Linked DNA regions of Neurospora crassa OR74A. Each later gene encodes a partner of the first gene's protein in a complex. Links are inferred from orthologs where the notes say so. Each region holds a gene or a part of one and is shown in the gene's direction. Other genes may lie near its edges. The genes, in order: cox-6 and NCU05816.

The links.
Region 2: the proteins of cox-6 (region 1) and NCU05816 are in contact, whole or in part, in a cryo-EM structure (PDB 7Z10), measured with the Saccharomyces cerevisiae proteins. The link is inferred for Neurospora crassa OR74A from reciprocal best matches to the Saccharomyces cerevisiae genes COX6 and COX9. Residues at the interface, in NP_011918.1 of Saccharomyces cerevisiae: Phe49, Asp80, Leu81, Val82, Pro85, Glu116, Gln120, Ala123, Tyr124, Glu127; in NP_010216.1 of Saccharomyces cerevisiae: Thr2, Ile3, Pro5, Ile6, Thr7, Gly8, Thr9, Ile10, Lys11.

What each region holds. Positions count from the first base shown.
Region 1 is NC_026505.1:4,303,964-4,307,956, forward strand, and holds cox-6 (cytochrome c oxidase polypeptide VI, variant), read left to right. Parts: upstream 1-1,589; 5' UTR 1,590-1,726; exon of another isoform or gene 1,727-1,840; 5' UTR 1,841-1,865; coding exon 1,866-2,026; intron 2,027-2,242; coding exon 2,243-2,288; intron 2,289-2,450; coding exon 2,451-2,568; intron 2,569-2,748; coding exon 2,749-2,870; 3' UTR 2,871-3,314; downstream 3,315-3,993. Other genes in the region: NCU06696 (hypothetical protein), read right to left, coding at 3,875-3,993. UniProt on the Saccharomyces cerevisiae protein: Component of the cytochrome c oxidase, the last enzyme in the mitochondrial electron transport chain which drives oxidative phosphorylation.
Region 2 is NC_026507.1:3,922,338-3,925,850, forward strand, and holds NCU05816 (hypothetical protein), read left to right. Parts: upstream 1-1,601; 5' UTR 1,602-1,842; coding exon 1,843-1,875; intron 1,876-2,020; coding exon 2,021-2,063; intron 2,064-2,348; coding exon 2,349-2,379; intron 2,380-2,502; coding exon 2,503-2,590; 3' UTR 2,591-2,959; downstream 2,960-3,513. Other genes in the region: NCU17277 (hypothetical protein), read right to left, coding at 2,978-3,218, 3,339-3,513. UniProt on the Saccharomyces cerevisiae protein: Component of the cytochrome c oxidase, the last enzyme in the mitochondrial electron transport chain which drives oxidative phosphorylation.

The sequences.
Region 1 (3,993 bases):
GGCGAAGCCCGTGATGAGATTGCAGTGTAGCTATTTCACATCGGGGTTCATCAATCGTATCTCGTGAGTGTTCCGGTGCGACTCAACGCGGGCTCCATCGAAAAGGGTCGGTCCTACCAAAAATCAACATGCCCGTTGAAACACGGATGAGATCGATGATTGACTCGAGACTTGGGGGCAGTCTTCTAGGCCGTTCAAGGTCCACCAAATAGCTACAACCCCCTACATCGGATACCTCGTTCATCATGCAGAGCGTCAACTGTCGGGCCGCAACGGGCTAACTCTTGATCAAACGAGTAGTGTAGAGTCCATGCCGAGGTTTGGGGAAGTAGCTAGTGCAGGACGTTCACAACTTGGTTATCAGGAAGAGATATCGTGGAAATTGATACGAGGACGTTCAAACACCCAGGCGAGCCCGAACCAACGGTGCGTATAAGAGAAGGTGAATGGCTTGCCCTCCAGCGATTGAGCTCACAACCTGGGGTGGCCCAGTGCTACGGTAAGACATTGACCAGCGGGTATACAAATTCGGTTTGTTCAATGATTCAATCGAGTCCATTTTTTTGAGGTTTCGCGGCTCTCGCCTGTTCAACAACCCCAACCCACCAATACTACAAGACGCGTTTTCTACTCTCTCCGAACTACATACTGGCTTTCGATCAGCCCATCATTCATCCACCCACAAATACACGAGTGTACAAGCCGTGAATCCTGAGATGACGAGACCATGTGCCGGTCAAAACATTCGGTTGGCAGTCAATTTCTTCCGATGATAAATAGGTTGATCCGTAAATCTCCAGCGCTTGCCGGTTCAAATGTTCCCAATCCTGGGAATTGTCTAAGAAAAAAAGTGAGGGATATCAAGGTCAACACGATGATGAGTTGAAGTGAATGTCCGCAACAACAGACACCACTTCATTGTGTGAAAGACCGACATGAGCAACACGCACTGGTTGCATCATCGCTGCAGGACGGATCGGATAAATCGACTGTGTTGGATGGATAAATCGACTGTATAGCAATTCGCGGGCTACCCCCAAGGTTAGTGTTAGGGTTAGTGGTTAGGGTTAGGTGTTAGGGTTAGTTCCGGGGGTGCAGGGGGCCGGTGAGAGGCCCCCGCATATAAATGAGAGTTCAACGCTTTAGAAAAAGTCGTTTTGAGCTTTCGTTGTCGTTGTCGAGACAATGATATTTTGGTGATGACTTGCGATCGCGAAAGTTTGGCGCGAGAGATGCCAAGCTTTGGGTCTTGGCTGTCAGTTTGTATGGGCTCCACACAGCGGATTCATCTGAGCACACAGTCGATTTATCCGGCTCGCTGCAGGAAGGCGTTATAGGTACCCCACGTTCTGTTGCTTCGACATCAGCCTCATTATGAAGTTAAAGAAATGTTTCAGCCACTTCAGCCACTACTGGTGCGGAAAAGTGGGCTGTTGTCTGTTCAATTGCATACCAAGCTCATGTACGAATTGGAAAGGTGAGCTTAGGGAGCTTGTGCACTGACCACCGAGTGGCTTGTCCAGAAGTACCTCGAGGGCGGAAAAAACACAGCTAGTCAGCTAACCGGAAAAGACATAGCCGAAGTATTCGAATGGTCCGATGCAGTGCAATACCGGAGACTTCCACTTGGGTTGAACAAGCATTTACGTCGCACACCATCGAACCTCAACCTCGTTAGCATTAATTGAGACCATCATCTCAGCTACCGTACCTCCCTCTACGTAACGTGCGTGCTTCTCCGTCTCCGCCGCCAATTACCGCCTTGCCTTTTCTTCCCCCCCGGTCTTCTCGCTTCGCAGTTCCAGCTTCTTACCGTGTGCTCTCAATTCTCATCTTCTAGTAGCCCCCTCCGTCCTTCCGTCACAATGGCCTCCTTCTTCCGCACTGCCGTCCGCGGTCCCTCCGCCGGCCTCTTCCGCGCCGTTGCCCGCCCCCAGCCCATCGCCGCCCGCGTCAGCCTTTTCAGCACCTCCAGCCGCTTCCGCTCCGAGCACCACGAGGAGACCTTCGAGGAGTTCACTGCCCGGTGAGTTTTGCCCCGGCAGCCCGGCCGGGAAGCTGCTACCTCTCCGAGCCCCGGAGGTCCCAGGCCCGAGCTAGCTACCTGCCTATCCTAGCTCGGCTTCACTATGACGTGATGCCTCCGACTCTCCTCCCCTCAGCCTCAGCCAGGGCCACCCCATCAACACCTCCATGCGCCCTCGAGAACTCCCCAATTCCTAACTTGCGCCTTTTCCAACAGCTACGAGAAGGAGTTTGATGCCGTTCAGGATGTTTTCGAGCTTCAGGTATGCACCACCTTCCATGCTCCCGTCCCACTTCGACTCTCACGGCCTACTCGACGACGCACCTTTTGCATTATCGATCAAGGGACAACAATGATTCAACTTGTTGGGTAGGGGCAAGGGAAGGAAGAGACTGTGAGACTGACGCTGGCATACCGAAATTAGCGCAACCTGAACAACGCTTTCGCTTACGATCTCGTCCCTTCCCCCTCCGTTCTCGCCGCCGCTCTCAAGGCTGCCCGCCGCGTCAACGACTTCCCCACCGCTGTCCGCGTCTTCGAGGGTAAGAGCCCCCGTCCTAACATCCATCACTGCCGCCACCGAAACCCGCACACATCGTAGCCATCGACGACCAGCCTATGCGTCAATACCAAGGTGTCCGATAAGCTCGGGTGGATAGGGAACAGCAAAACGGTCTTTTAGGAACCAGAACCATGCTGACAACGGGCTTCCGTCATAACAGGCATCAAGGCCAAGGTTGAGAACAAGGGCCAGTACGAGCAGTACCTCGCTGAGCTCAAGCCTCTTCGTGAGGAGCTCGGCATCACCCTCAAGGAGGACCTCTACCCCGAGGAGGCCAACTAAATTTAGGACCAACGTAACTTAGAAGATGCCATGAGAATCACCATTCCAACGACCCATCAATTATTCTCCCAGAATCTTTGGAAGTTTGAAAAGAGGGGATATGAGAGTATTGTGGCGAGAGGAGGGGGAGTTTGTGGAAGGGGAAAGCGTAGCGTGTGTGCTTGGAACCTATGAATAGGAGAGCGCACTCAACGCTAATTCCCTGGTACCATACATGTTTCTTTGCCTAGAGAACTCCTATTGCAGGAAGTAAGGGCGTAGTATATCCAAGAGGGCCTTAGAGAGAGGAATCGAACGAGTTCAACCTGTTTGTCGAGTTGGATACGATAACAGTTGGTTGTGTCACGGATTGTGTTTGGACGATGAATATCCCATGCCATGATCGTAGAGAGCAGCAAAATAGATGTATTCGAAAGGCAGTAATGAGTTTACCATAGATTTTACAAAAGCTGGATGCTGGTTACCATTCGTCATAAGAGATTGACCAGATTCACGATTGTCATGCCTGGTTCTACCTGGATTCTATTGCCTTTATCCATAGCAGGTAGAGTAAGTATCTAGAAAAAGGTAACCCCAATGCGCCGAGTGCCTCAACCTCTTTCATGTGCATCCCTCGATCCTCAAATGCAACCTGAGTACCTTGAACCATACAAAAGAAAATGAAAACAATCGATCTAATGAACCGTAAGATGTAAGATAGGGAGATGGGTATTGTGAAAAGATATTCCTACCGGCTGGAGAGAAAGAAGAAGAAGAAAAAGACCAATAGGTAACAAGCAATAAGCAAACAATCGTTTCACCAACCATTCCACCGTTGACAGGGACATAAGGAAAGCTGACCTGAAGCCATCTTAATCGTTGTCTTTGTCTCGGTCCTTGGTCACGAACCAGGAAAACAGCTGCAGTCATCGACCGACAGCCGAGCCATTCTTTCCTTCTCTCAAGCACCCAACGATCTCGCTCTCCGACCCCCAGGTTCGGTTCTAACTCCTATTCGTCTTGCCCTAATCACGGAGGTGCCCCCACCGGGGGTTAAAGTTTATGCCCCCATTTCCTCCACCATTCCCGTTTCCATCACTAGCATTGCCCGGCGCAGGACTATTACCCCGACTACTTGCCGCCG
Region 2 (3,513 bases), on another chromosome or scaffold:
GCTGCCCCGGGACGAACCCTTTCCCTTCCGTGCCGCGTACCTAGGCACCGAGTGCCCCCGAGAGCCCCGAAGGAGAACAACGCCCCGACGACCATGATCTTCACCTCATTTCATGTACGGTCAGAACAAGATGTTCGCAAGAAGACCGTAGCTTTTTACACCGCACGCCACAGAGTCTTCAACGGCGCTTCTACCCCCGGAGCCCTGATTGAGTGCATTGACGTGTTTGCTCCTTTTGGTGGCTGACGGGGCTGCTTGCACCTGGCAAGACATTAACTGTTACAGAAAGAAACAGGAGAAGCAGTTTGCCCCATCTTGATCAATGCCCTCGTAGATCAAATCGGTGCTCGACGTTGGGTCTCATGGAAAACGATGGGTTCTGTGAGTCGTTGTCATTTTTAAATTCTGAGAGGACGAAGAAATGGATGAACTTGCAAGAAATCAGAGACCCGGAAACTGCGTTGCGGGGTGATGCACTGACCACAACCAAGTGCCACGGTACATACCACCCTGCAGTCCTCTTTATATAAGTCTTGCAAGCACCTCCACAACATCAGGCGGACTGGCCACGCATCGGACTGATAATCAGTATAACCATGAAGAAAACGGCGAGCTTGGGAAATAACCAACCTGATTCTACACAATACGATAAATACTCGAGCTGACGGGGACGGATTACGAGTTCTCAGGCTCTGCTATCCTTCACATTCTGTCACTTGAGTCTCGAAGCACCTGCCCGAGACAATATCACCAAAGAGAATTTGCAAATTTGACTGACAACGTCTACAACGACTGTTTCACCAGGTGACTCCAAACAACAACTACGAAGCCGCCACAGTCCTGACGACGATACAGCTTTGAGGTGTCTCGCAGTCCGCCAAAAATTTCATCTATCGGTCTTGATTACGAACAAACTGTACATGTAGGTGTCCGCTTCGTTTGACCACCTCGATCTCTGGTTCGAATCCCTTCGATCCAATCGACAACAAAAATCTGTTTCTGAGCAACACCGCCAGTTGCAACTTTAAGAGTACAGGTGTCTCAGGAGTTCAGCCTCTACACCAGATGAAAGAAAATGGACTTTGAAAGCTGGAAGAACCTGGATATGAACACCGACACATGGTGATACTATTTCGGAATACATTTCCCGTTCATGGTTGGCCATACTAGCGACCTCCAACTCTCAAAATGAGCAGGCGTGTACACAGTCGGAATATCATCCATAGCGGACTCGGAAGGTAAGGATGCGCAGGGACACCAATTTTGAAGGATGCTTTGTGGTTGAACCTTATAATCCAACGGTTCTGAGACCTGGAGAGAGCGTGTAGTATTGGAAAGACATGCACAATAATGTGCATCTTGCCATAAAGTTGAGAAACGATGGACGTCATCGCGACTGGAAAGGCTGCCACCTTATCGATAAGTTCAACGCAGTGCTGCCGCTCCCCAGCCTTACGTAAGCCCACCACATACTGTGGTCGCGAGCGAAAGTAAAAACCCCCCTGTCAGGTACTTTTTTGCACGGACACTATGCGTTTAGTACCTACCCCACTTAATTAAACTTACCCATCACACCAAGTATGAAGGGAACGGTCCGTGATCCAAGATTTGCCGAAAACCCGCAGTTGCCGGCGCTCGCAAGCTTCCGTTCAGCAGCTGCGTCATCACGTGATATGAAGCTTGCAGCTCCCGTGCAGCGAAACCTCAGGTCATCCATTCGGGACAATCTTGAAGCTCCATTTTGAGAGAAGAGAGTTCCAAGCCGTCAAACCGCGCACCCTTCGCTACGATCCGCCCTTTTTTTTCGCAACCACTCAACCGAAACCAGCCCTCTTCGTCAAAATGGCCGCCACCGCTGTCAGACCCATCACCGGTGTACGTGATTTCCGAAGCCTGCGCAAAGAGGACGATTCAATGGCTGTTCGCGACGATGGATGACGGAATTGCGCAATGCCACCAGCGCTCGGGACAAGCTGGACTGGAATACAGGAGGACTAGGGGCTGACTGTTGGGTTTACAGATGCTCCGCCGGGGCCTCATCCTCGACATTGGCATTGCCCTCGGTGAGTTTGGAATTTCTGAATGATAAAAGAGGTGGTCTCTGAAATAAGGCGAAGACGGGAGGCGGGACACGGCGATGTGGAAGACAGAGCAAGAGCTAGGTCGAGCTTCGGCCGGCCGGTGGGCCGTGAATTGGCTACGCGCGCCAGTTACCTAGGATTGCCCACGGTCTCTCGTGCTGTCACCCCGCCATACCGACTTCCCGGAAGCCACCTCCTTCGTTGTTCTTTACCTTTCTTTATCACAAGTTCCCGATCAGCTGACCCTTTGTTTTCTTACTCTTTCAGGTGTCGGCTTCGTTATGGCCAACGGCTACTGGTACGACATATCCTCGATGAATCCTTGACTTTAGTTTGCACGCGACCCGAACCGAAGACGAACTCGCAAACAAATCTCCCGTGCCTTGACTCCGCGATGACTAACCCCTTCCATCACCCGCAGGTACGGCTACCACATGCCCCGCACCAACGCTCGTGACAACTACTACAAGAAGCTCGAGGAGGAGCGTGCTGCCCGCATGGGCGCCTAAATCGATCTACGGACTGGGCGACCGATGATGAAGAACGGAGACGACCTCGATCGATCGCGGAGATGAAGAAGTAACGCAATACTTGGAGCGATACCTGAGGAGGGGGAAGAAGAAGAAGGAAGAAGGAAGACTTGCATGTTGTATATCTACAGATGAAGACGGATAGACAAACATCGGCAATCGAGTCAGCCCGACCGATACGTATTCCTTACTTTCTCTTCTGCCTTGTGATAGACCATTTATAAAGGCCAGATGGTGGCCGGGTATTTCATAGACGGGACACGACGGGACGATGCAATGCAAAGCAACTAGAGATTAAGAACGGGATCCTCCTCGTTGGACACAAGACCAAGAAATTGTAAAAAGATGGGTATCAGAATAAAAACATCACTTTCTGTTCCACCATCTATCCTCCTTGTCGTCCTCTCTGCCCCATGTGCGATGATCGATCTGCTGGTGCTGCTCCTGCTCGGCCAATGAGCTTTTGTTGCTGGCCGATGTCGCTTTGGCTGCTGCTGCTGCTGCTGCTAACGATGACGATGATGATGTCGTTGCTGCCGCAGCCGCAGCCGCGGTGCCCTCCCAAGCCGTTGTCTCGACCGTAAAAGGCCCATTTTTGTCCCGGCATCTAGATGGTTTGGTTCCCCACGTCAATGTCAATGTCAACGTTTCCTTTTCCCTTTTTCTTTTTCCCCTTTTCTTCTAAAAATGCGACAAAGGGAATTTCCCCTTCCTAAAAAAGACATACCTGCGAAACAAGCGCTGCACTGGCCAACACTCAATCTGGCTCTCCCTCAACTCCGGGTCGCGCACCTGGCAGTCATACTGCAACAGACCAAAGAGCTCGCAATCCCGAAGTAGATCGATTCGTCGTCGACCACCGTCTTCCGTCTTGCGAACACGCTGATCGGGGCCGACTTGTA